Styela clava: one gene and its partners. The main gene of each other region encodes a partner of the protein of the gene in region 2 in a complex. Links are inferred from orthologs where the notes say so. Each region holds a gene or a part of one and is shown on either strand. Other genes may lie near its edges.

The links.
Region 1: dynein regulatory complex protein 8-like (region 2) and dynein regulatory complex protein 9-like share a complex: the UniProt entries of both Homo sapiens proteins name them as parts of the nexin-dynein regulatory complex. The link is inferred for Styela clava from reciprocal best matches to the Homo sapiens genes DRC8 and DRC9.
Region 3: dynein regulatory complex protein 8-like (region 2) and dynein regulatory complex protein 12-like share a complex: the UniProt entries of both Homo sapiens proteins name them as parts of the nexin-dynein regulatory complex. The link is inferred for Styela clava from reciprocal best matches to the Homo sapiens genes DRC8 and DRC12.
Region 4: dynein regulatory complex protein 8-like (region 2) and F-box and leucine-rich repeat protein 13-like share a complex: the UniProt entries of both Homo sapiens proteins name them as parts of the nexin-dynein regulatory complex. The link is inferred for Styela clava from reciprocal best matches to the Homo sapiens genes DRC8 and FBXL13.

The regions. Positions count from the first base shown.
Region 1 is NC_135256.1:11,518,926-11,526,624, forward strand, and holds the start of dynein regulatory complex protein 9-like, read left to right. Parts: upstream 1-4,675; 5' UTR 4,676-4,804; coding exon 4,805-4,927; intron 4,928-5,245; coding exon 5,246-5,365; intron 5,366-6,441; coding exon 6,442-6,548; intron 6,549-7,049; coding exon 7,050-7,178; intron 7,179-7,590; coding exon 7,591-7,699. Other genes in the region: uncharacterized protein LOC120327970, read right to left, coding at 1,992-2,057, 3,123-3,189. UniProt on the Homo sapiens protein: Component of the nexin-dynein regulatory complex (N-DRC), a key regulator of ciliary/flagellar motility which maintains the alignment and integrity of the distal axoneme and regulates microtubule sliding in motile axonemes.
Region 2 is NC_135253.1:7,972,894-7,980,449, forward strand, and holds the start of dynein regulatory complex protein 8-like, read left to right. Parts: upstream 1-4,530; 5' UTR 4,531-4,688; coding exon 4,689-4,719; intron 4,720-5,642; coding exon 5,643-5,774; intron 5,775-6,481; coding exon 6,482-6,587; intron 6,588-7,061; coding exon 7,062-7,287; 3' UTR 7,288-7,556. Other genes in the region: integrator complex subunit 7-like, read left to right, coding at 164-250, 912-1,010, 1,320-1,586, 2,426-2,516, 3,192-3,343. UniProt on the Homo sapiens protein: Component of the nexin-dynein regulatory complex (N-DRC), a key regulator of ciliary/flagellar motility which maintains the alignment and integrity of the distal axoneme and regulates microtubule sliding in motile axonemes.
Region 3 is NC_135258.1:9,395,669-9,401,702, reverse strand, and holds dynein regulatory complex protein 12-like, read left to right. Parts: upstream 1-4,546; 5' UTR 4,547-4,606; coding exon 4,607-5,206; 3' UTR 5,207-5,508; downstream 5,509-6,034. Other genes in the region: translation initiation factor eIF2B subunit alpha-like, read right to left, coding at 1,078-1,989; A-kinase anchor protein 14-like, read left to right, coding at 5,570-5,689. UniProt on the Homo sapiens protein: Component of the nexin-dynein regulatory complex (N-DRC), a key regulator of ciliary/flagellar motility which maintains the alignment and integrity of the distal axoneme and regulates microtubule sliding in motile axonemes.
Region 4 is NC_135258.1:12,568,037-12,575,035, reverse strand, and holds the start of F-box and leucine-rich repeat protein 13-like, read left to right. Parts: upstream 1-3,970; 5' UTR 3,971-4,216; coding exon 4,217-4,291; intron 4,292-4,696; coding exon 4,697-4,800; intron 4,801-4,922; coding exon 4,923-5,016; intron 5,017-5,092; coding exon 5,093-5,235; intron 5,236-5,437; coding exon 5,438-5,517; intron 5,518-5,723; coding exon 5,724-5,910; intron 5,911-5,989; coding exon 5,990-6,151; intron 6,152-6,518; coding exon 6,519-6,681; intron 6,682-6,762; coding exon 6,763-6,920; intron 6,921-6,999. Other genes in the region: 18S rRNA aminocarboxypropyltransferase-like, read right to left, coding at 80-856; uncharacterized protein LOC120338966, read right to left, coding at 2,106-2,684. UniProt on the Homo sapiens protein: Substrate-recognition component of the SCF (SKP1-CUL1-F-box protein)-type E3 ubiquitin ligase complex.

The DNA of each region.
Region 1 (7,699 bases), on a different chromosome or scaffold from region 2:
CAAACTACGAACTTTGATCTACACCAGGTGGCCAACACATCGATTGCGATTGACCGGTCGCGAGTAGTCGATCGCGTCTGATGTTGAGTAAATTCAATAACATAGCCCAGAAAATTGCGTTGAACCAGTTTTATACTGCGACTGTTGTGTGTTTCAAAACAGGAAGAATATAGTACTGTACAAGCGCAAAATACGAAGTACACATGCAGTAATTGAGTATGGACAAGAGCAATAGAGTATATTATTACGTAACAAATGCAAGTTTCCCTACTGCCATGTTTTAGAAATGAACATGCAGAATATCGCGTGTTTTGACAGGCAAACGATCCTACAACATTTTCTGCACTGTGTGAAAGTTATTGTCTCACTCCAAGAGTAGTGTGATAGATTTACAACGGTAGCAGTGGCACCAGCCTATGGTAGCTCAGTAGTAGACGTTTCATAGAAATAAGGACAAAAATATTTTGTAAGACAAATCTCTTCAAAATAAAAACAAATCTTGGAAATAAAGACGTTATGGCCTGCCTATAATCATTTCGAGTCGTAACAAGTGGGAATCGGGATAAAACTAACAGCAGTTTTCAATCAATTCATTGAACCGATTGACTTTCAGTCAGATTATCCATTTTTATACGGCGGTCATTCACATCCTTCGCTCCGAAAAAGGCAATTTACAAGCAACCGATGATACGAGGCGCTATAGCCTTGAATAGACTAAAATGTGTTAACATTGCAGATTACCTTTGCCATGTTCAATTTATTTATTCTCATGTGCAACAACATCTATAATTTGTTTATCTCACAAATTGAAGTTTGATATAATGGGCATCCTCATCAGAAATTTGTCCCGGGCAGCAGAAAAGTTTGACACGCCTCTGCCCCACCTTACTCAGGGTGTAATAAATTGGGTCGACAATGCCGAACCGGAAAGATTTATCAAATAATAGTAATTCCTCAAATATCAGTGGACGCATGTGAAAGGCTTTTTTTAGAGTGAAAGACCCGAACAAGCTCAGTATAATATATATTAGGTCGGACGCTTTAACAGCTTTGTCATCGCGACGCCTAAAACAGTGAGTTGATGTCAATCACCCGGAAATACCCGTGACTAAGACAGCACAACAGTGAGTTGTGTGGTGTTGTCTTTTTTTTTGTTGATAAAATGGATTCTAAAAGTTGGAATAAAGTTTAAATAGTGTTTATGGTAATTACTCAATAATGAATCAGGCAATGCTTCATTATTGAGTAATAGACAGTTACCAAAATTGGATTTAGTTACTGGACCGGGGGCTCATACCTCCATGGGAAAAACTAAAAATCATTTAACCCAATGGCGGGAAATCACTACGCTTCTAGGTAAAAAGGCGCACAGAAAACAATTTAAATGAAGAAAAACTATCAAATGCAGTGCTGGCCAAAAATTGAAATGGGTGGAACGTAAAATGATGCCATACTATATTTGCATAATGAAATGCAGTGCTGGGCATCTGTTATGCGTAAAAACGGCACACAGAAAACATCTCACATAAAAAAAAACATGTAGCTACATGCCAAATTATGTACAAACACAATTAACTTTAGTGTGAATTTTGCTGCTGTTTCGTTTCCAATATAAGATGCAAACGAGGCATCAAATAAGTTTCTACAAACGTAGCTCTGCATTGGCGTACAGTCATTTCTTTGCTTCGTTTTAATTAAAACTAGGGATGAAAAAGTTTTTACAATTATATAATCAAATTAACATATTGAATAGTAGTATAAAAAATGCAAATTTTTGTGGCAATTTCATTGAGAATGCACCCGCAGAGCCGAGCTTATTGGCATCGGTGGAATTTTTGTATGCGTGTGTGAGGTTATCTGCGTATTCAGTATTCGTACATTTTTGTTTATGACCTTATTACCGATCAGTCAGTCGATCGCGAGCTTTTTTGAAGATTTTAGTCGATCGCGGGCGAAAAAAGGTTGGCCAGCCACCCTTGGTCTAAACTAACCTTCAATGTCTCTGCCATCCAATATTCGGTCGAGGGGGCCTTGAAACCAATCCAGGAAATGCGAGTCTAAAAATACAAATCGAAATTTTCAATGTTCTTCCAAAGTCCACTTGGACATAATAAGTTGGCGTTTAAGATGGGTTGTTACGATAAAATACGCCTACCATTCCTAATCTACCTAATATTTAATCAAATGTGATTTCTTTGAGCAGGATTCTTCAAATAGGCTGTTTGCGTAACAACACCACTCTTGCTGTTGATGCAGTCGGGGAAATTAAAGGAAACTTCTTGTAGCTGCGAAAAAAATTCGCCTTAAATACGAATACATTTTGGAATTATACGACCACTGAAATCTCACTCAGTTTTTCACTCAGTCATATATTTGAATCTATCAACTCTGGGCAGGGAAGGAAGAATTATAAAATGCGCGGACCTCCAGAAGTATGTGCACCAAGATGGCGCACATCCTGAACATAGTATGTGTACCAGGTTAGGGTTCAAGTTGTGCGCCATCTTGGTGCACATACTTCTGGAGCGCCAAATGCGCAATAGGTACTGCGGTATATATTCGTAGTACGGACAAATTATTTTGAGTTCGTGGACTTTTGTTCAAATATTTTGAAGTAAATTTGGTCTGACGAATGTTATAAGTTGTTTGTAAACCAGGTACGTAATTGTATCCTATACAGTATACACCAACCTGGTAGGTTACCTCCTCTGTCGAAAAAATCTTCAAAAGACAGAGCTAAAAACAATGTAAAAGGCTATTTCAGTGCTACCATATATATATCTTTAAACAAGTTTCACAGGCAAAACTAATTTCAAAGCACCCATGTAACTTGAACGAATCTTTTGCGTTTGAATAACATTGCTTTCAACAAGAGAAGTACTTTTTCGGTAAAAGAATAGGGACACGATATTATTTTTGTAAAACGGTCTTTACGGCTAATCATGATTGTTCTTGACTGTAATCATCATTAATATGGTTTTAGTGGATGGTGATACATTTAAAAATAACACTTTCTGAACGAATAACAATTTTTAAATTGGGAATTGTGGTCACGAGCAAAGCGTGCAAAATGAGCTGGCTATGAATAAAAAATGAATATATAATGAATAAAAAGTGCTCACCCCATTCACTGTCTACTTCACAAATAAATGATAGCAATGCTACGTAGAATATAGCAGCATAAAACATTGTTTTCCAGAAGCAGCAAATTATTTGAGAGCACAAATTTAAAATCTCACTGCGCCAATGCTATCACAAATTTGTGTTAACCTGCACAATTAACCGTAAATATTCCACAGAGAACGCGTGGATAAAAGGCAAATGGGGCTATGAGCGACTTTTTCTCCAATACCTTTTCGACAATATATTGTAAAATATATATGAGAAATTGGTGTGGTCGTTTAACAATGCCACTGTATACGAGAAAATTGCGACAAAAATTATGGATAATTTTTAATTTCATGTGCGTGTGAGCTGAAGAACTAATAAATATCAAGATCTTAAAAAATCTTGTTCATGTCGGTAAGTAAAGTTTTCATTGGTTATGAAATCCATCAGACGAACTTTAAGATGTCCTTCACATGTCAATAACTTTACCAGCATTAAACTTTAATCCTGCATACAAACAACTATTTTCATCTATATTGAGCCATCATTTATTTACAATATTTCCAGCCAACAGGCAACAATCTTACTCGCTATTTTTCTTTATGTTGTGTCCGGTTGTATTATATTTAATTCACATAACCTTTTCTATAAAAAGATAAATGGACAAAAATGAAAGTGACGGGAAACAATATTTTACGCGTAGTTTGGCACATATAAAAATACGATATAGTTCTCGAAGACATGGCCAATTTGTTTCAAATTTCGATAAAGAGTTCAACCAGGCTGTATAAAAAATACTCTGATGACGGAACAGATTTCGATTTCAGAGGATCAACTAATATACCGTAAGCATGTGGATCATGTTCTTATCATAATATCTGTGTGTTACGCGTCGAATTATAAGTATTTTGCGGCGGTTACGGTTGTCACAAAACTATCACGACGATCATAACATAATTTTGCGCAATTCAGTTTGGAGTCTAAGAGGCTGTTTTTTTTTGTATAAGTTTATTTCGACCCGAAATTTTTGCTTTACCTTATATATTGCACACATTCCCATGCTGTTTTTTTCATTTTACATTTTTTCTAAATTAATTAGTAAGTATTTAAGTTTGATTCGCAAAAAATACTGACTACGTGAATTTGAAGGGACAAGCTGTTTTCGATCGGTTTGGATTGGTTTAAATTATCTCGACTCCGCGCACTTCCATTTGCCTTTATCTGTAACCATGACGAAATTACACGCTTGGTCGAGGAGATTGATGTTGTTTTCCTTTTAATCATTATTTAGATATAAGTTACGTACTTAAATAGATTTAGCCAGGCGATTATACATGCCATAGGTGTTCGATATTCACCACGGTGCCATTTTATTCATATTCCAGTACTAAAATCAGGTTTTGTGGTCAAATCTCTCATGCATGTTATCTGGTACGTATATTGTGAAAATATGGCTATTGCTGTATTGACAGGATTGCCCTGTGTGTTATGATTATATGATTTGGTCATACCAACTCTTGAGTAGTCTATATTTTAAAGTATGTATTTACTTTTATTGCACAGTTCAAAAAAAAAATGAAATCTAACAAAATTTGATAATGTAATAATTTACATTTCAAAACCATTAATATACGGTGAAGTAACACAGAACAACAAATTGACAATCTGGAAGTTGTTACAAGGAACTACAGAACTAATGGCGTTCACTCACGCAACCGCTGCTAATCATGCATCAGTCATGGAAGACTGTATTGATCAACTTTCTATTCTTGGAAGAATTCTACCTGTTTCTTATCAGGGCCAAAGTGACGCAAAGGAAGTGAGTTACTGAGTTTATTGTGTTTTGTAGTGCTGTACAAATATACCATTGCTGGTACCGTTACTCCATGTTTTTTTGACTTTTTGCAGGCACATTTTCATCAAAAACATGCTTTCTTTTTTGTTCCTTCTGGGAGATAGATATTGTACGAACAATTCAAAATTGTGGCCTATATATCTTGCTTGTGAAACAAATTGTCCTTACTTTTTTAGGAAATGTGGCATATATAGTTCAGGTTTTGCTCATTTCAAAATAATTGTGAATATCCATACTGTTAACTGCTCATAAGAAGTCATTTACTGAATGTATTTTTTGCAGATTGTTAGTAAAGATGTGAAAAATGTTCTCAACAGTCAACGTGAAATTGAATCAAAGTTTGACACAATTTTATCGTCACGAAATGATGGCGGTGGAAACTCATTTGTTGGATCAAATCAAGTATGTTAGAACAGTGTTTTTCAACTTTTTTCGAGCCAAGGCACACTTTTTTCATTGAGAAAATCCCACCAGCTGAAAATGTGAAATAAGGACCTAATATTCACAATATAAGTGTAATATTGTTCATATAAGCTTTTTTAACATTGAAGAAAGATGTTGGATTGGACATCTTGAATAGTAATCAAATAAAAACAATGACAAAAAGTCAAATTGCCACCTGCGCTGACACCTGATATAGAACAGTACTACATGATTACTCTGTCGGGCGCTACACCGCATAGACACACAATTTGGAGAATTTCCCACGGTACCCCTGACAGTATTGTACGGCACACCGGTGTGCCGCGGCACCCCGGTTGAAAAACACTGTGTTAGAATATATATGAGCAACTATCTTTTAACCTGAAATGGTACGAATAGAAAAATAGAACTTAGATCTCATCACACGTATCAAGTATGTTAGAATATATATGAGCAACTATCTTTTAACCTGAAATGGTACAAATAGAAAAATGAAACTGATATTTGATCACGCCTATCTCATGTACGGTTCAATGGGTATAATAAAAATAAAAATTTCACTATACATAAATTGCCTCATGCATGTACGTGACAATTTTATGACTTTGTTTAAAGCAGAGGTTCTCAAACTTTTTTAAGCCACACCCTCTTTTTAGAATTTGTCAAGTCTGACGCCCCACCTCAAAAATAACTAGCTAACAATAAGCTACAAATGACAGATAGTAAGGTAAAAGTATGAAAATACGTGGATGGAATGTAAATAACGAAAACACTGAGGATAATTAAGATACAAGAACTCTAGCTCTCCACAATATCTAAACAATGAAGAAATGTAAATATCCAAAAGAAGGCGAGCAAGATCAAATATAACAAATGTTTTTATTTTTAATCAGTTTCACGCCACTCAAAAAATTGTCTACGTCTCCCTTGTGAGGTGCGCCCCACTGTTTGAGAACCACTGGTTTAGCGTGCAAGGGATCATTTTGAATTTGGTATTTTATGAAGCGTTCGATTTATTATTTTTTTATTTAATCCCCCTTTGAATATTTTTGCAGATAAAAAACTTAACAGGTTCACTGACATCCAGCAATCGATTTGTGAGTCAGTCACTAAAACAGAGCCCACTGACGAGTGACAATCTTGTGAAAATACAAAAGGACAGGTGAAACTAATAATATTTATGCTTAACTTGTAGCCATGGTCCTAATTACTCACTATATAACCCATGGATGTATAAAATTGGATGTGCAAAATTGTATCTACTTGTCTTTGGAGATTTGCTTAATACAAATATAGCAAATAATAGTATTTATATAGAAAAGTCGATAAGATGGCGAACTGTTTCAGAATAAGTTAGCCAGGTAATTGTTTTCAAAAGCATGGCTTTAGTAGTGGAGAAAGCCGTAACCGACCAGCAGTCACGTGAATCAACCATTCTATGGTGGCCAGGAGTCCAGCAATTTTCCTAGACATAATTGTCCCTCGTGGGATTCGAACCTGCGAGCTAATGAAAGGTAATCAGAGGTGCAATGACATGCATATTCCTAACACTTAGCACGTAGAGCTATGTGAAGTTATTAGGTTTCGTTTCCAAAATTTAAATGACTATCTGTGTATTTTCATTTTTATTGAACATTTTGATTTTAGTTTGTTTTTCTCTCAGGCAATTTTGTGAAGATGTTTTGACATTGACACATCAAAGTTTACTGCAATCTTTTGATTACCAACCACTTCTGGATGCTGTAATTGCTGAAAAAGAGAGAAAAGCTGCTCTTCAACAAAAAATTATAAAGTATGTTATTGATTAAGGGCGAGACTAATAATCGTCATCAATATTAATGTAACAATTTCAATTTATGGCCAATTTCTAATATGATATGTATATATGGAATATATTCACTTATTTCAAAGTTTATGCAGCTCATCAAATAATTTCATTCTTCACCATCAAAAGGATACTTTAATATGTGCTTTTCAGCTATTGTAATCATATTGCTGTTCAAATCTATCACCTTGAAGTAAATGTCAGTATAAATATATTTATTTCTAATGTAAAATGTTTGACCAAAAAATATTCACATTTTTTTAAAGAATACTAATTTTCTTGATTTTTTGACTTATTCAATACTAACATGCTCTGAAATGCATGATTGGAATATTCTTAACTTTCAATTCAAACTTTTTTTGTGATTTATTTTTTTAAGAGAGGAACAAGGCAGAAGAAAAATCAAACAATTACAGCGTCAGCTTGGGGATATCAAGAAAGAAAAGGAATTAGAAATTCAGCAACGAAATGAAATGATTGCTCATTTA
Region 2 (7,556 bases):
TTTCGGGATTGCGGTCACCAGGGCAAACCCAGGGGGCATTAGTGGGTCGCTCTTTTGAAATGTAAAAAAAAATTTTTTATGTATCATACATAGCAATTTTTTAGCTTGAAATGCTTTTTAGACTAGCAAAACTCTTGAACGAATTCTCATTCATTTTTTTCAGGTTTTACTGGAGACATTCGATACAATCATGTCAAAATTGGATAAAGTATTTCGTAGTTCTGCATCTTCATCTTCATTCAGCAATATAGTGAGTGGATATTATAGTTTTAACCTTTCATTTGGTCTGTCACATCATTTATTGATGACTTTGTATTTACTTTCTATCTATAATATATTTTGAATTTGCATTGTGATTCTGGATTTATATATTTTATCTCTACGAACGCAGTCAAAAATTTGACTCAATCTGATAAATACAGTTTTGTCTGTTTGCCGTTTATTTTTTTTGCAATTGTAGTTTTGAAGGCCAACTTATTTACTTGTCAAACACTATCTCGAAACAAGTCATGTTCGGGTCGTGGCAAATGATATCCGAATAAAACTATGAACATTGACGAGAATATTTGTGTAGAAAAATGTTATTGCTATATACCAATATTGAAGAGAAAGAAAAACATTTTCAATACAAGGAGTTAACTTGTTAATTGTTATAAATATCAGATTAATACGTCATAGGTAATTGAATTTGTTTATGGTTTCCAGCATAAAATTAGTTCCTTAGAAAAGTGTCAATCTTTACTGTTTATGTGAACTTTAATTATGCACTTCCTTTTTGCTTATGGAGTCTACCTTTCATGGCTCAATATGTATGGACATATGATATTCAATGCTAATTTCATATATTGGGCCTGGCTTGAATATGTATTGATGAATGGTAACATATTTGCCAAAACTTTTTTTTTTCACAGCACGCAGACTGCATTCTTCAATGTGCATCTCTTTTGCTTTCAATTCCAATTTCCTATCCGAGATACTTCTATCAGAGCTTACAAACAACTACAATAAAGGTATGAGAAATATTTTAAATCGTTCTCGACTTGTTCTATGTCGAGTAAACAATTTGATTTACATGTCACTACATACAAAAGATAATATTGGTAGTTAATATGAAAAATAATGAACCTGTAATTAATTAGTTTTCATATTATGTTCTATGCTCATATCTTGCATTTTTAAAAAAAAAAAAAATTTTTTTTCAAAAATAGATGTTTTGCGATTTCTACTTGTGTAAGTTAATGTGCGATGTATTGTTTTGTATATAACCATTTTTTTTTAAATTTGATGAATACTGACATGTTTTTTAAAATTTTTCTAAGCTTGCTATATCACCAAGTCAGCGATCGCCTAATGATCCGGTTACTGTTGATGTGTGTGAGAGGTTAGCTCTCAAAATTGAAGGTGTGATAAGACATGGTGGACCTGGTGGTACTACATTGGGAGAAGCAGACAAAGCAACAAGCAAGAGTGGTTTTGGTAATAATGGAAAAGAAAAACGTTGTGCATTTCGGCATGTTTCTGAAATCAAATTATCACTAAGAACTAATCAAGCTCAACAAGGAAGGCAAGCATCTATGAATGTCAAGGTGAGTTTTGTCAACTTTTTGAGTGGTCATGATGTCTTAACCAATTTGCTTGGACTGAACTTGGACTAAATCATGTATATTTTTTTTTCATTAACAATGAATTGGTTCACTGTTTTTAGTTAAATTACTTCTGCACTATTGGTACTCACCAATACAGTGAGTGATACTTTTTTAATCAAAAGTCATGGGAAATTTGCGATGTCTAATTATTTTTGAAGTAATTTTACATAACAAAGGTAATACTTGTACCCAGTGGTGGGATTCAAATTCTTTGTCACCCGGTTCCATCACACAAATTCAGCCGGTTCTGTTACAAAAAATCATGTTTTTTTCAGTAATGCTAACCGGTTCGCTGATCTCATAAAATTCTGTGAGACGGATCTATAGAATCGGTGCGAACCGGCTGAATACCACTACTGCTTATACCTGAGATGTCAGCTAGTGGTCAAAATAAATCATAACCAGTAACCATCTAAAGTCATTCAGTCGATTAACCAACCCCAGTGAAGCGTTATAAGAGGCAGTAAATGTCGCCTACATGATTCCTCCAAGGCAAAAAAATTATTTTAGTCATCAATACATGTATACTAACTTATACTTCATAACATTCCAGATCAGATCAAAGGACTGAACATATCAGAAATAACAGTTTATTTTTAGTCCATACCAAAAAAAATGACTGATACCGACTTACATCGGTACTTCTTTAACTTGTATATGTACAATTCTATTTTACATTCGTTTTCTTAGAATAAAAAAGTTCTTGTTTCAAAATAATTTTCGTAAAGTGATCTTCAATCATTTCTAAACAAATTTAACAAAGAATAACATTTTTACAGCTCTCTGATTCCGGAAATTTTCTTGAAGAAACAGTGAAACCACACAATGATTATTTCAGCACACAATTTTTACTCTCTTTTCCTGCTTTGGGTGAGAAACCATCTTCATCTACTTTGTGCTGACTTAAATTCTCAGTTTATAGTTGAAAAATATTCACAGACCCTTCAATTTGTTTTACAGTTAATCAACCCTCAAAATAAAAAATTAGTCAAAAATTTTATTGGACACCTTGTCGAATTGAAAATATTACGATAGACCAGAATATTCCAATCATATTATGACAATTTTTTTAAATTTTTTTATTGAGGGTAAGAGTGTTGATTTATGTTGTAATGGCCTGCCTGACTTGTACTGTTTTAGCAGACAACTAATCTGGGCTATGTCAGTAGTGATATGAGCAGTGGGATTAAGGGGGTTTGCACAGGTTTGTGTGAGCCTGTTATTGGAATGTAAAGATAATCGACAATCCTGTTTTCTTGTTATTATAGCTATAAGTTCGGCATGGTTTTCTAAAATGAGTGAAATAAGAGAACCTGTTCCTGAAATTTCGAATCATTTCATATAAGCTATATGATTTTGTATATCAGCAAATAGTTGCATGGGAAATCTGTGCCAGCTATTGTCCTCACAGCAGCAGAGAATTATATTTGACACTTTGACAGCCTTTTCTTAATGTACTTATGTCAATACTTTCATATGTACAATATAAAAATTTGCAAAACTGTCATAAATGCATAATTGTATTTCACTTGTTTTCTAATCAAGGCAATCATAATATCATTGTTGAATCGAGTTTGATAGACGAACATGGAATGTGTTGGAAGTGTGGACCAACTGAGTCATTGACAGTACGAAGTTTGGATGATTCTATAAGAGTTAAAAATCTGATTCAACAGAGTCAGGGATCTCATAAATAGTCTTCATCTATTGTTGGAAAAACTAGCCTGTCTTTGCTAAACTATTGTGTTGCGACATCTTACGATATCTACTGCAATAAACTAATACAACAATTTGTTTTGTATGTCTGAATGAATTGAAGAGATGAAGTCAAACCTATTTTTGTAGGCTACAGCACCAGAAATCAAATACTTTGCACTACAGTCTTTAATGTCTGTACTGTAACAAGTCTATGATATTTTCATATAGTGCTCTGATTACACTGTGTGGGTTCGGATCCTGTGAGGTATAATTATGTGCGAGAGGATTGCTGGACTCCTCGTTTCCGTAGGGTGGTTCATGTAACTGCTGGTCGGTTACGGCTTCCTCCACTATCAAGTTCATGCATCTGAAACAAATAATTGGCTAATTAACCCCGTACCCAACATGGACTGGTAACTGAACAAGAGGCTGCGATTTCCCATATGATTAAGCTGTCTTATCGGCTTTCTTATTCTGTGTGAAATCTATATATCCTATGCCCTAGAATGGGTTCCTATGATTCCAATATCTCGTTTTAAGATGTTCGTTTTTAAAGTCTTTGTTTCGATCATCAGTTTTGTGGTTTTACTGTTTAATAAAGGATTTTCATAGCTTTAACAGGGGAGAGGTGGGTGATAAGATGAATTATTTATTTGCTTAATCGAATAATGACAGTCTACCAGTTGATTGCTCCACATGGCGAAAGAAGGCCTAATATTAGTATACCAATGATTATGTTTCCACAGATTTCCTGCGAACTTTTACAAAATAATCGTAGATGCAATGAAAATGGTATTCCTAATGCGCAGGACAATGTAGTTCCACTTCGTGTTTTACAACCTCTTAAACAACTACAATTTAGTAAATGGATAGATTTTGTGTCTACCGATCTTGTGTATATATTTAAAATATTGAAGTAACTTTTAGTCGTATGTCGAGATATGGGGAGCATGATATCCGACTGCAATACATGGTCTCGCTTATTTAACATTGAATATTGTTTGTTTCAGGCGGCAATAGATCATAACAAAATTATTTTAAATGTTGCGAAGAAACGTATCATGAGCCATGAACATTTATGCAAACATATTTGAAGTTTTAATATCGTATCAAAAATTATCCGGATTAGTCCCAACAGACGCCTGTTACTACCACTACTAGCCGATGATTGTTATGGCGACCGTCATGAAACGCTGACCCTGGCATCAACAAAATATTACGAATAAGATGGCGCTTATGGAATGAGCCCTTTATGTTGTTACTCCAGATTTTTCTGTAATATTGGTTTATACGACTGGCTACTGAGTATATTATCTGATTTGTAGCATCGAAAATTCTAGCGCAATGACTGATTCCGGGGAAAAAGAATCGGCAGGTAAAACAAGTTTCACTGAAAAGCTTTGATCGCAACAAATTATGTAATCCAGTAATCGAACTTGATTTAATCTTACACTATTGCTGGTAAATTTTCACGGTCTGACTGTCCTAGTACCTATATACCGTAAAACTAGATTTTGTGGCTTTTGCATATTGATCTACAGATCTACAGGATCTAGTAGGCATGCTTAATTACGGTACCGGTAGTCTATGAGATGAAGCAGGTACGGTACCAGTGGTCTACATCAGCAATCCTCTGGATTAATACCATATGGAAACTCAACACTGTATGGCATGTCTGCATGCATGCTTGGTGGTGTGGCAAAATTTGCTAAGCGTTGTGAATACGCTCGCCACCACACCTCCGATCATCATGCTGCCATGCGTGGGTTTGCAGCTTCGAATACTTTGGGGGATAATTATGTGAAAGAAGATTGCTGGAATCCTTGTCACCGTAGGGTGGTTCACATAAATAACTTTTGGTCAATTACAGCTTGCTCTGCCATTAGAAGTCCATAATATGATAAAATAAATAACTGGCTAACTACAAACCAGATGAGAGGCCGCAGTACAGCATATGATCGATCAAGCCGTCCAATCGGCTTTACTCTTCTCAGGATAAATATGTAAATTCTATTCTAGATGAAAAGTGTATTAGATTTTGACAATTTTACCACATAAGTGTTTGAAACAAGGAGCATTCAAATTTTTCGAAGCATCACACACATTATAGAAAACTTTATTTCCTTAATTTGCTGTAGTGAATGTATATATTTTAAGTTAATGTATCTTATAATTTACTGCATATTTTTCGCTATTGCATTTGGAAGTTGAATCCTTTGCCAAACTATTACAAACATGTATATTTAGTGAAAATTATTGAAATATATGTTTAGATTACTGACTTAATTTATATTTCAGAGTCTATGCTGGCAGAAATTGAGAAGAAAATTACAGATGCTTTTGAAATCTTTGACCACGAAGCAAACAAAACAGTTGATGTTAGAGAAATCGGAACAATTGTGAGATCACTAGGATGTTGCCCATCAGAAGGTACTAGTGTAGTTTACTTATGTTTGTATCTTGTATAATTTTTTCCAGTTTCCGTTATTTAAGCTAATAGCCTGTCTACAATTCTGTAATAAAATGTTAGGTAACTATTGGCATATGTGTCGCAGTGGTATGATTTATTTTTGCAAATGTTTCAGACATTCAACTATCAGTAGAGGTTGCGCGTGACTAACTGTCTCAATCTAACGTTACAGAAATACATTTGTGTTAGTGTGCAGCAAGACTCTTGAATTGCATAGTTTTAGACATTGTTGTGATTTAATAAACCGACGATTTGTCATAATGGATGTACAAACTGCTCGGCTCACATTGTTCAACATAACTGTGATATACTTTAGGGATCAATTCAAGCAGTATGATTATTACATTTTGAATAGTCATCAGTGTTCTATTTTCAATTCAGTATGCTAATGCTAATTTATAGAGCTTGCTTTACTTTATACATAATTGTTTGTATGACTTCATGCAAGCTGTCACTTTAATATATTAGCTACTGTGATGAAAGAAATTTACTCTCACATTGTGTGTGAAGTGGTATGTATGAGCCGACAACTGATATCACTGATCTTAAAAAAAACTGAACCTTAATTTCTAACATTCAATGCAAAGTTAAATTGACTGTGATGTCAGGATCTTAATTTTACATTGAATATCACAAATTTATATTAATTGAAACTATGTTGATATAGGAGAGTTGCATGATATGTTGGCTGAGATAGAAGAAGAGGAACCAACAGGTTACATACGCTTTGAGAAATTTTTACCTATGATGACACATGTTTTGATGGAACGGAGGTATGTTGTCGTCGTTAAAAAGATATTCGCTACTTTGTTTCTGGTGACCCCACATAGAATGGATATGCAATAATCTTAAATGTTGCCATTATATATTGATTGTATTTTTTGTTTTTTGACATATAATTGCATCATTAAATTTATCTGTTTTTTTCAGCTATTATATATGTTAATTAGATATTGTTATATTCAGCAACAGAACTATGTTGAACATGAGAGATGGGTGTAAAAAGAGTTTTAATTCAACTTTAATGTTTATTGTCCAACTCCGCGTTATTCCTTGCATCGAGTCTTGTAATGAAGTTCAACAGTTGCGTCATTGTTTTGGATGATATTTGACAAAAAGTTCTTTTAGATCATAGAAATCACAATACAGCATTTGCATGTATTATCAATCATGCTTAAGGTAAAGTAATTTCCCTAGCGACGCAAGTATAAAACAAATATCGCAAAGTATTCTATTTCCACCTCCAGATATAAACCTTCACCTGAAGATCAGTTGCTCAGGGCATTTGAAGTTCTTGATCAGGATAAGAAAGGATGCTTGTCTCAGGAAGAAATCACAAAGTATATGACTGAAGAAGGAGAACCTTTTACACAAGAAGAAATGGACGAATTTCTCTCTGCTGCCGTTGATCCTGATCGTGGCGTTGTTTTATACAAAGACTATGTTTCTTTAATGGCTATTGAGGAAACTTGATTAAATTATAGCGTAAGCTAAAACTACTCCATATTGTAAACCAAAGTATTAAACCTCCAAGTCATTTGTTATTAAAAAAATGATTTAATAAAATTGAAGCTGTTTACTCTTGTTGGCCTTCATAAAAAGGTACTTATTGCTGAATGTTCATAACTTGATGGAATGTATAAATTTTAAATTAACCACATGACTTCCTCAGACATCTTGAAGTTCAACATAAACGGTCAATTTCTAAACAATAGGCAAAAAGAAATTTTACGCCCCGAAAA
Region 3 (6,034 bases), on a different chromosome or scaffold from region 2:
ATGACCTGAATTGCAGGTGTAACTTTTTTATATGTTCTGCCTTGCTTGTTGGAATGCTGATGTACATTCATCCTAAACCCCCCCGAAGTTCTCAAATTGAGATTGTTTCTCCCTTTTTAAATGCACAAATATAGATTCGATTCATTGCAGATTTAATATAAAACAAAAGCAAATGATAGAGTTTTTTAAATGCGAGACACTTGTTCATATTTGTTTGTGGAGATGAATTTTTTACTCTCTGTAAATACAGATACTGAGATTTTATTTGTGTTCAGTAACATTGTATAGTTCAAAATACAGCCGGCAAGAGCAATGAATTTTGAGGTATGGGCATGGCATCTGATTATAAATTACATTATGGGTAAACCAAATTTTTCCACACTGCAACCCAGTACGTGAATTGATGTGTAGAAAAAAAGTCGATATGACTTGATAGAACTCACATCTTCACCAAATATAATTCTACCCGACATATCAACGGATATGTCCCATAGGCACGCAGAGCTAAAGAATTTTCCATTTCTGAATAAAAAAAACATCTGTATTCTGACGATGTGGCAATAATCATTAACTTTACTTGGGGGTCCCGCATTCTGGAACAAATATTTTTCTTCCCATTATTAATTCTTTTCTCTGGATTATTAATTCATTCGCGACTGGAATAGCTGAAAGCTGGAATTTCAGTGGTCTCCTTCAATTTTGCTCAGATGAATGACTCAACTCTGAGCAAATTCTCCTAAACCAAAGCAAGACATTCGAAAGTACTCTTATAGTCCTCTGAAATTCATTTTATAAAGTAATAATTTTGCTGTGATATAACAGATCATACAACAAAAACTTCAATCAAAACCGCGCCAATTAAAAATAAAATTAGAATCCGAATAATTATCACCAATATTGATATGCCACATTGCACCTTTGATGTGTTATTAAAATGACCTGAACATGGCCATATAGCATTCCATGCAGACTTGCAAGATCTTGACAAAAATTTTTATGACTCTCGGAATACTGGCCACCATTCTGTATTGGTGGTATCTCCCAGATGCGAATATTCAACCTCCAACCATTACAACTTTATAAGTATAGTTTGATAAGTTCATCACTTACAGCAGAAGGTGTCAGGACACCCAAATCAGTTATTAGTAAAGTGATATAAGATGGAGGAGTGTAGTCTACATTAGGATGTTCTTGGTCAAGATTCTTGGACTTGATTGTTGATGCTTTGTATTTTATTTCATTCGGTACATCTTGCTGATTTAATGGATAAAGGCGAACGAATTTAATGCTCTCGGCAGCAACATACAAGGGTTTATTATGTGCCTTTGCACAAACAGCAATTTGGTAACTTCCTATCTTGTTCATAATCCCACCGTTTTCTACCACACCTTCAGCACCAATCAATACAAGGTCTATTTTTTCCATAACATAACCAGCAGCTGAGTCAAGAATTACAGTCACTGGGATGCCATGTTCTCTTAATTTTTCCGCCATTATATTACCACTCATGTCTGGTCGTGATTCAGTGACAAAAACAGTGAAACGCTTTTGAGCTTCCATAGCTTTGATTAACATGTTCAAAACTACTCTTGAATATGAATGAACAAGAACTTTGATACCATCATTCAAAAATGGCAACCCAAGTCTGGCAATTTTTTGTCTGCTGGATGATATTTTTTGCAGGAACATTTCACCACGGCTTATTAGAATATCCTTCACTTTATCGAAGTCTGAGTGTTCTAAAGAAGATAGGGTGATAAAGCGAAGAAACAGTTCCGATCCAGACAAGATAGGTGTAATTCCTGTGCAGTCAGTCCTCACAAGCACTTCTATTGCACTTTTTAGATTATCTCGTAATCCTGATAATGTTTCAGCATGATCCTTTCTCAGATATTCTATTAGAGTTTTGATTGCAGCAACTGCGGGAGATGATTGAGTACTGTTTCGTAATTCCGACAAAAAATATTCACTTATCTCTTCATCATTCATGATCTCTTTCTGTGAATACCCTTGCTATATACAAAACAATACCTGCAAAGATAAAAAGAGATATGGTTCAAATAATATTTGTTGAAAAAAGAGGAAATTATTATTATTCAGTCCAGGAGTACAAATCACTAATGTATTTTACGCCAAAAGGCCTTGTATGCCACTGCTAAGTCTGTAAGTGAAAATCACTGGGAAGAAATAATTACAGAATTACGATTCAATTGTTTCAGATATGGAATATTATTAACACTTAACAAGTGAGCATTCTGTTTGGTGACAGGGTCCAGTTTTGTTTGATTGTGGATATCTGAAAAATCATTGCGAAATATTTTGAGAAATGTTTATACAGATGACATTTACAGCTTTTATTCAGTTATAAAATAATATTATGATTAGATATAAGAACATGGTGCGGTACCGGTACTGGATAAAAGCCAAATACAAATTATAGGGTCTAATAAATCCAGAAATCTGTAAATCCTTCTTATAATCCAACTGCCTGACTGTGGTACCGGTAATACAGTAATATCTGAATATGCTGATTGCTGACTACAACAGAACTAGGCTACTAGCGGTACCTACTAATTAAGCAAGCTTAATGAGACTACCTCTATAGAATTTCAAGTTACCAAAATCAAATTTTGTCGCAGGTCATTTCCATCGGATACCGGTATGCATTCGGAGTGGGAGTGGTGACTCCTCTGCGGCCCATGGGCCGGGGCCCATCAAGTTGTGTAAAGAAACTATTCACTTGGCTAACACAGACAGTCCCCGAACTCATAATAGAACTATAATGTAAAAAATCTGAATTTTTTTTGTCCTAACCCTAACCTGGTACACATACTACAGGAGTATGTTTTTTTGGTTAGAATATTGACAATTTGGTAAAAATTGAAAATTTTGTTAAGATAATTGAATTTTTCCTGATGGGGCCGCGGCCCATCAAGCTATGGGCCACGGCCCATGTGGCCCCGGCCCATGGGCCGTAGAGGAGTCACCACTCCTGTAGTGCATTCGGCACAGCATGATTGGGAACATGACGCAATGGTTGTGTCCCTTTACATACTGGTACCGGTACTCAAGACAGATTTTCAGACATGGTTGTAACTTGTAAATATTGGAGTCGCTATCTGTTTGTATGTTTTAGATGTGTTTCCGAAATTTTGGTACCGGTACCTTATAAATCAAAATACCATTGGTCGTTTTGTCTTCTGGAGCGTTCCAGTTTAGTAGTAGTGATGAAAAATAGTTATGAAACAAGTAAACTCGTTTGGAAAGTGCCAGGCGTATGTTAGTCGTTGGTGCCAGCAATGACAATAAATGTCATTGAAGCCAGGTCACGAAAACTGTCAAAGGGGTCAAGGGCCGGATTATTATTCTTGAAAATATCAAGTGTATCAGAACTCCATGACAACGCGACACGCTTCGTTCGGCTGAGAGTTTTATTTTGTGTTCTGCCGCTCGTACAAGGCTACCGGTATGTAGTAAGCGAACTAGTAACTATTTTAAGCTATGACTTGTTTCTATATGTATAAGAAATAATAATAACAACTGGAATGGAATTTTATATGTGTACGGTATTAATGCGTGACAGAGAGAAATGAACAGCTGTATTAAGGTATATTAGGAGGAGGAGGAGGATTTACATATTTATCCCGGAGGAGAGGAAAGCCGACAAAAAGAACTGACTGCTGCCAATACAAAAAAAAATGGAAAGCCTATGTTGACTCATCATGAAACCATATTTGGATTGAAAATGACTGAAATATTGCAAATGAATAATATTTTTGTAATGTGAAATACTTTGGTTACAATTAATCTCATATTGTTAGATAGTTAAGATAGATAGATAAGTTGTTAACGCTTTATAGGTACACAAAAGTGTGATTAGACCATCAAATATTTTTAGCAATAACTAATCTCACAGCCTGATTTTTTGTCATGATTTTACCATATATCATATACATCAGGGGTCGAGAACCTTTTTGGTCAAGAGAGCCATAAAAGGTACATATTTTCAATTGCATTTCCGTGCGAGCCATACAGCATTTCAGGCCTGAAATTTTACTCAAAAGTCAACAAATACAATGTCAATATACATTTAATGTGACTTCTGATGCTTCAACGGCTGCTCACATGCAGCCAAGTTGAAATCTACGATACACATCACCATCACCCTTCTTTCGTTTAGGCATCTCTGTACTAGTTTGATTTAAATATGACAAATACTGTAATTAGTACGTACAAACGGACGAAAAGCTTTTCTCTATAGCTCCGAAACTATAACACTTTGTGGCGTCACAAAATAGATTCCAGAATCCCCTAGTTTTGTCACAATGCTTGTCTGGTAATTCTCTCAAATAACATAGACATGCGCTGGGCGCACGTTTTCAAACGTCTTGGCAAATTTGGCTATAAATAGGTTTGAAAACTCGTTAACAATTGTAAGCTTAGCCTTACAATATTAGATTTTTCTGGGAGCCATATTTATGCCGCCATCAAAAGAGCCATATATGGCTCGCGAGCCATGGGTTCCCGACCCCTGATATACATTATGCTTTATTTTACTTCTTATTTATTCAAGCACTATCAAATTCTATTATAGTAAATAAATAAAATGCCACCAAAAAAGAAAAAGGGCAAGGGAAAGAAAGGAAAGAAGGGCAAAAAGAAGGATGTAGCAAAAGAAGAAGACAAATTTAAAAAGACTGTTAGAGAAATTGAAATTCTGAAAGAACATCTCGCTCATCGAAATGAAATTGCTCGGAGATCACAAGCCCAAGCATCAGATTGGAAGAATCGTCTTCATGAAATGGAGGAAAATCTTGAGGAGCAGAAATTGGAACAAAAAGATGTCAGTGCAGAGTTGACTCGACAATATAAAACGATGCACACGGATATGGACATTAGAATGCGAGAACTAAACACAGAAGTAGAACATCTAAGACAACAAGTAGCGAATGCAAGACAAGAGCTTGAAACAACGAAACGAGAAAAAGAAGAAATGGAACAGGAAAAAAACGAAACAATCAGAATATTGGAAAAAAGAATCGATGAAATGGAAATATCATACGAAGGAGTCCTTACGGCTTCGCTTGATTCACTTATTGGAAAAATTGATGAAGCTAAGGATAAATGGGATCAAGAAGGAATTAAAATACAGGAACAAACTAAAATTACTCTTCTAGAGTTCGGTCTGAACCCTCTGGATATTTGATAATAAATTCAGATAATTTGTTCTGTTGAAAGAATTGCTTACAAGGTCATACGGGAGAACATTTTAAATCCGCTTGCCTTCAATGATAGACAATAAAACTTATATGAATTCTAAAATCTGATCATTGGATTAGACTACCTGCTCATATTTGTTGATGATTATATTCAATAGCTTACTGGAGAACTAGGTATATTTTAATGTAATCCTGTAGTTTTCATAAATCATTTTCATCACTGTGTTGTGAATTGTGCGACTTTCATTTGTGTCTCACTATTTTTACCTTGTTATCATTAATTTCATAGTACCATATTGATAGGTTTAAAGGTTTTAGGGATACTACTGTATAGTTGTTGTGACTAAAAAATGCCTGTAAGATGGAGTGATGAAGATCCTGCTGAATTTGATGAGGAAGCATTCAAAATAGTCGACGACGTAATAGCAAAAGCTGTTCATGATGTTTCAGTTGAAATTAGACATAATTTGGTATGTATATTTTATATGATATGTCAAATCTGGCTTGGATAGGCCTTGAAGCTTCATATACCAACGGCGTTCCGGTTGTTGGACAGTTCATTGCGTTCCTGTTGTTAAAATAAAATTATGGTTCGAAAAGTCTGGTTTCCTCGGGAAACTTAGTTATTAATTGATGTTTTGTTGCATCATAATTATTTTTACATTTCAGCTGGCAAATAATTAGTGCACAGCAGTAATGTATAATGAATGTTTTGCCGACCTTTGACCCTTGTGAACATTTGTATTGAATTAGTATGAATATTCTTTCAATTTTAAAAAGTCATATTTCAGATAATTTCATTGTAGTTCTTCGGC
Region 4 (6,999 bases), on a different chromosome or scaffold from region 2:
AAAAAAAGTATGATTATTTTGAACTTTTATTCTAAATTTGCTATCCTAACAATCTGCTACTATAGAATCTATTCAGACATCAAACTTCTTCAGATGAATTACAGGAAGAATCAGAATCTTCATCTGGTGGCAGGGATGTATGGTTGGGATTACAGTGTTCAACACTTAAATCTATATCAAAAGGATCCCGTTCTTCACTTTTAGCATTAAGTTCATCTCTTTCATTTTGTAGCCAATTTTGTTCAGCTGTCTCGATACTTTTTGAACTTTCACAACTCTGATATAACTCCAAAAGTTCCTCATTCAATGTAAAAAAGTTGGGACCCCATTTAAAAGGTTTCAAAACAGATTTAGCACTATCTTCAAGCCCAACAATATAAAGTGTAGCTGCATATGCCTCCACACATGACAACCTACAGGGCTTGCCATAATTTATTGGATTCGTTGCAACCAAGTATGGTAAAAGTCTCAAGTGACCTCCTTTCATTTTTGAAAATGGAGTGTCTTGCAACCTTGCCCATGAACAATCAATTACAGCTATGCCATGAGCTAATACTTTGTCTTTATCTCCGGCACTGATATATTCAGTAGCCATCGGGCTTAATATTACTCCAGCGAATCTTTGTTGTAATTTCAGTAATCTAACTGCTCCTTTACGAGCAAGCTTTCTTCCTGTACATTTTTTCGGGTCACAGTGTCCCAGGTCCCACATTGCAAGGGGGCATGCTATTGTAAAATTGCTCGTCGTGCCTCTTGGTTCATGTAAATCCTCTTCATCCATTGCAAGTTGCGGCGTTTCATATTTATTTTTGTTTTTGAAGTTTTTCCTCCGTTGATGCTGTTTTTTGTGAGACATTGCTATTGTATATAGTGTTATGTATTCTAAATCTAATTATAATACAAAAAGATGAATAAAAATTGTATATAGACAACCAAGTTACATATTCCACAGTAAATGTTCATTCCATAACAAATTGAATATTCAAACACATTCAGTATTAGTTAGTTACTTAGTTTGATATGGTTATTTCTAGAATTTTAAAATAATCCATAATAATTCTTTTTTACAACATATCATAATCAATAGTAAAATTGCCCACAGGCGCAGCAGTTAAAAATATCTTTATAAAGTTATGTGCTGTAACAATTCCATGCAAATTTTCCACTCTATTATAAATGTAGAAAATATTGTATATTAGAAATAGTTTATTATTTTAATTTAGCAATTATAGATGAGATGAGATTTTTTTTTAGGACAGGAACATATACTTTTGAATACATCATTCTATGCATAAAAATACAAGATTATTGATCAATTATAAAAGATGAGAGCAATAATAAAAACTCATGAAAGTTCATATAAAACAAATTCTCCATTCTGTTACAACTCGTTCTTTATTTAATGCAAGAAATTCATTGCATAATAATTTTCTGTACATGATACAATAAAATATAGTACTCAATTGACTTCAGCTGTGCATTACATACAATCAAGCTTAGACATTTACTGGATGCCATTCTTTAGATAACATTAAAGACAGGGGTGGGCAATTACTTTTCTGAGTGGGCCAGAGGCTCAAAAACTTAATATGAAAAGCTATGAATAAAAAACAGTTTATTTACAAAAGCTAGTTCAACAGCTAGGCTAACATTTATATAATAATAAGAAGCACAATGTGGCAATCGGGGTCATTATGACATTATTTTCAATGGAAATTTATATCCATGAAAACCATAGTCGTAATTGCCGCACACCCAAGTGTACCGGGCCTTGCATATCCCTGACCAAAGAGAATCAATCATTACTGATAGAGTTAAGACAGCTGGCAAACTATACATATTTATAGAGATAATCTTTCTCATGACATCCAAAATCATCCTCTCATGAAGTATGACCCTATTTATGTGGTAAAGATTGATGTTCAGTATCACTAAACATGCATAAACAAAGTAAAATTATATTTGAAACATTTAAATTAAAATGAACATGAAGTTTCATTTAAAATAAAAACACATTGTTGATGATAAAGCACATTCGATTGCTTGATTTATGTTTGAAAAAAAAACTATGATAACTATTTACAAGAGAAAGTCTGATTTGGTAATCACTTCACAAGAAGAGCATCAACCATACGATTTTTGAGTTCTGGATCACTGGGCATCGCAAAAGCAATATTCGCCAAGGAATATTTCCTTTCAAGGAGCAAGACAAACTGCTCAGCTGTAACTCCTTTGTCCAAAATGCTTAGGGTCAAATCTTCAGCTGACAATGAAACTCCTTTACCACCACCACCAGATCCAATTTCGCACTCTTTGTTATTGTAGTGAGAAGTTCCACCAATGTTTGCTTGATTGAAATTTCCTCCACTAATGTTGTATTTAGTGTTTGAGGCACCTTTTTGGAAAACTTTTTTCTCTTCGTTGAAAACAGTGTCACCTCTGTTACCAATTGCCGCTTGACCAATAGTACCTCCCACAATATTGAATTGGTTGATGGCACTTCCACCTCCTGAAGTGTTATATGAAACTTTTCCAGGATTAACAGTTCCAAGATGTCCTGTTGCCCTATTAACTTCAGCCATAGCTTCTCTTACTGTGTCCTCAACATATTGTTTAGTTGATTTTCCCCCAGTATACATTTTTGGCACTGCAGTTGCATCACTTTGAATTTTACGACCAGACATAGTAAAATGTTTCAACCACTACCGGTACCAAATATCAAAATTTAATTGAACAGAACCTGACAACGCTATGCTCATTTAGGAACTACTTGAACAAAAAGAAAAAAATATGTCATACTCAAAATATTATTGTAATTTACTGTTGCAATAAAATTCTTTCAGATTTATGATTAATACTAACGTTTGAATAACTTCGTGCTATTACTGTATCATGTGCCATTAAATTGGTGCTTCGAAATCAGATTAAAGTGAAGCCTTATGAACGAGTTATTCATGGCGTAATTGCCCCATTTAGCACAGCTCGCTTGACACAAAAGTTACCAGCTGATCTGCTGGGAAGAAAACGGTCAAGACGGGTACTTCCTCTTAGTGCAGCGGTGATCGGAGTCGATCACATTTTTATCCTTAACCTTTTAGGCTGAGTCATGCGTTCCTTGTCTCGCGTCAAATTTGCCAATGTTTATGCAGGAATGATTGGTTTGTGCACTTGTGCCGAAACCTACTTAACAAAAATAAAACAAATTTCTGTCCTGTTATGTTGTTTAAAGAGTGAAAATGCACTTGGATAGAAGTAAAAATGTACTTTTCGAATAAAATAGAAATAAAGAGAGAGAATCATTGCCGCAAAAACAAAATCAACACTAATATAAACATAATATATTAAAGAAAATATTTCAGCAGTAATAACAGTGATTGATTATTGTTTTGTGCGAGTCGGTGTGCAGGACCGGTTGGGTTCATCTAGGCTCCCGACCCTTGTGTTTATGCTATATATAAGCACATCATGGCATAATATAGTACCAGGGTAAATGCGAATGGATTACCGGTACATAAAATATAAATAAGATAAAGAAATTAGTGAATGATGCACAAATAAAAGTGTAAAATATGTCATAAATTACAGTTAAACATGTACAGAAACGGGATATAAAAATGAACATTTATTACGATTTTCCACGCATCTGGAACTCTGAATTGTTCAACTATTCCCATAAATATGAAAATCCTATCCAAACTGCCATCGGACGACAGTTGATGGTTAGATTTTATTTCAATTTCATCTTCAACGAGTAAAAATCAAACAGACGAACTATGATTATGTCCAAAATAGTTTGTACTAACTCTTTGTACTAACCACATGTAAAATGAAAATCTTGCACGGGGTAATCGCTATAATATACAGGGCCATCATTCTCTGTGGCTATAAATAAGCAATGAATACACTGCGCCGCAAACGACTATGAATGGTTATTTTATTCTTTTAGCAATCATTACAGCAACGTGTCATAGCAGAGAGTGAGTTAAGTTTTAGAGGATTAAATATAAATATACAGCGGGATTGTTTGGAGAAAAACAAAATATTTGGGACCATATTTAGTCACGCGAAAGAATCAGTGACCCGCGACGCTGACCTGATATGTTTCTAAGGAGACGGTGAAGCAGCAAAATTCCCGCGAGACGTTCTGATTTCTTTTTCTGTAAATGATTTTGCTAGTCTATATCTACTAAGTTTCTCTTGGTGCGAAATAAAGGCAATGGCGTCACTTCAAGGGATCGATCCCGCACTAAAAGAATATCTTAAAGTACACCAACTTCCCGAAGTATATGAGGTGATAACAATACTACACAATTTTCAGATTTAGGATTTTTTTTCATATTTTTTCTCAGGTTGCAACAAAGATAAAAATACTGCTAAAAATACAGCCCAGTTTTGCTAATATAAAGTAAATAAATAATGAAAAGTACCCTAGTTCCAAACACTCAGAATCTGCGCTAATCACCCAGTCAATAGCATTCCTATTGTGCTCGGCGGTGTGGCTCATCGTGCTAAGCGTTAGGAATACGCTCACCACGGCATCTCCGTAGGTCGTGGTTCGCCATATGATTGAGTCGTCTTATCGGTTTTTTTCACCCCCTGGATGAATATGTAAATCCTATCCTATCCTTCAATGCTGTAATACTAGTTTAGATATTTAATGATTGTAATTTTATTACAAACCTTTCATTTTTCGCAGTGTATCCTTACTGGTTTGATGATAGCATGTCCAGAGGATCCTTACAAATGGGTTGTTGAAAGCATTAAAAAAATACGCGATCAAGGTCTGGATACAATGACATGGTAGGTGAAGGATTATAATTTGTATGTAATGGTAGGACCTGCATCAAAATAAGTTTGCATATGATGTTAAATCTTCATTTAACATTGCGTTTTTGACCACTAACTTTTGCTCTTCATTTCAGGGATATGTTCGTTCCATTTGAATGTCAGCCAAAGATAAAACAAATGGCAGAAAGTTACTTGGATGAGATTTTCAAGTTTTATGACAAGTTAACCGTAAATTTTTTTAAAATATTTCTTCTTCTTTTATTCAAAGTGAAACGTCAACTAACAGTGCAATTCATAATTTTAGCCATCACCAGATATGCTGAAAGCAGCCTATAGCCATTATTATGGCAGATTACAAAAGATATGTTTCAAAGGATGGCTTAAATACTACTTGGACAAGAAAAATCATCGAAATATGATTCGAAATAAAGTCAAAGAAGCCAGACAGTATGTACAACTTTGGACATACTTGAATTATCGAGCCAAATGCTGTATTTAAATTATTTTAAGGACAGTCATGTGTAATTTGAAGCCTAAACTTGCCATTTATACATGAAAAATAAACAACAGATATTATTTTTTATATTAGTATTTGGTTTACTTTAAACTGTTTTTTTTTCAATATCAAGATTTTAGAACTTTATTTCAGATACCACAGGACAAGAATGATGAGAATATCATTTTCTAAATGGCATACTTGGAAATGTTACGTGAAAAAGAGACAAAATAGTAAAATATATCTATTTTTATCCAACTGAAATAAAATAGCCCAATTACTGGGAAAAATTTCGGCAAATCTATCCATAGGATTCATAATTAAAAGCAATGACTTTTACTTTGAGGATTTTATCTAGATACTGGCTTTTTTCTCGCGGTAACCATATATTGGAGCTTTACTATTTTGTAGTTCTATATTATTTTAAAAAATTTTTTAGGTGGTTTTGATATGATTTCAAAAGTTTGGAATGAATCAGTTTGTCGGCTTGTTTTTCGAGCTTGGAGATCGGTTGCTGTAGACGCACGTAAGACTAGAGAATATTTTGAACGTCTAGAACGTGGAGAATTGGATGAAGAATTCGGTGTCGAAACTGGAGACAAGGATCTGCCTAGTGATACATTTAGGTAATGTTTGAATGTGTTAACTTAAAAAGAAAAACACTCAAGCCAACGCCAACATTTTAAAGATTAATTTTTCTACTAGAGATGAAGTGTCTTTGCTTCCACGAAGATGTGCTATACAAATATTCAGTAACCTGAACTTGATTGAACTTAGTAGATGTGCAAAAGTTTGTAGAGCATGGAAAGTTATCACTGGAGCACCTTCATTATGGAGTCATCTTAACTTCAGTAGAATTAAAAATAAGTAAGTGAGATACTTTTTATTTACACTCAAGCATCAAGTTAGGTGACTATTGGTGCTGTCTTCAGGTGATTACTTTAAGGTTTTAGTATGCAGGTATGTATATTTGTTTCAAAATGTGTAACTTCGTCTGCCTGATAAATAAATAAAAAGCGGATACTTTTACAGGACATTGTTGGTGTCTTAAGACACAGTTGCGAGACATTCATTGGTCTCTATTTTTGAATTTGAAATTAACGCTGGCTGCCTTCAAAAATGTACTAACCTAAAACATCTTTTTTTTTAAATATGGTGAGGGACATTTTTCAATATGGAAGTATAATCTAGGTATATTGATAACATTTTTAACATTATTTATATTTGATTTCAGAGTGAATGATAGAGCCATTATTCAGTGCTTACAGAAGAGTCGTCCATACCTTGTACATCTTAATCTTCGACAATGTTTTGCTGTGCATTGGCCTGCCTTCAAAGCAATTGCTGAATGCAGAAATCTTCAGGATATAAACATTTCAGAATGCAAAGGAGTCAATGTAATGCATTGTATATTATTTAGTAGTGTGTGAGCCCTTAATTTTAACCTACATTTGTGTGAATAATGATTTTTTCTACAGGATGAAATTATAAGAGCAATTGCTGAAGGATGTCCAGTGCTTCTGTATCTCAATCTCTCGTACACTGAAATAACCGATGGCACATTGCGTACATTGGCAAGATGTTGTCTGAACATGCAATACTTGAGTCTGGCATATTGTAACAAGTTTACAGATAGGTATTGCTGTCTATATATCATGAGCCTTTTACCTCATGCAGGGTGTTATTTATGACACCATGTTGAAATATAAAAAAAA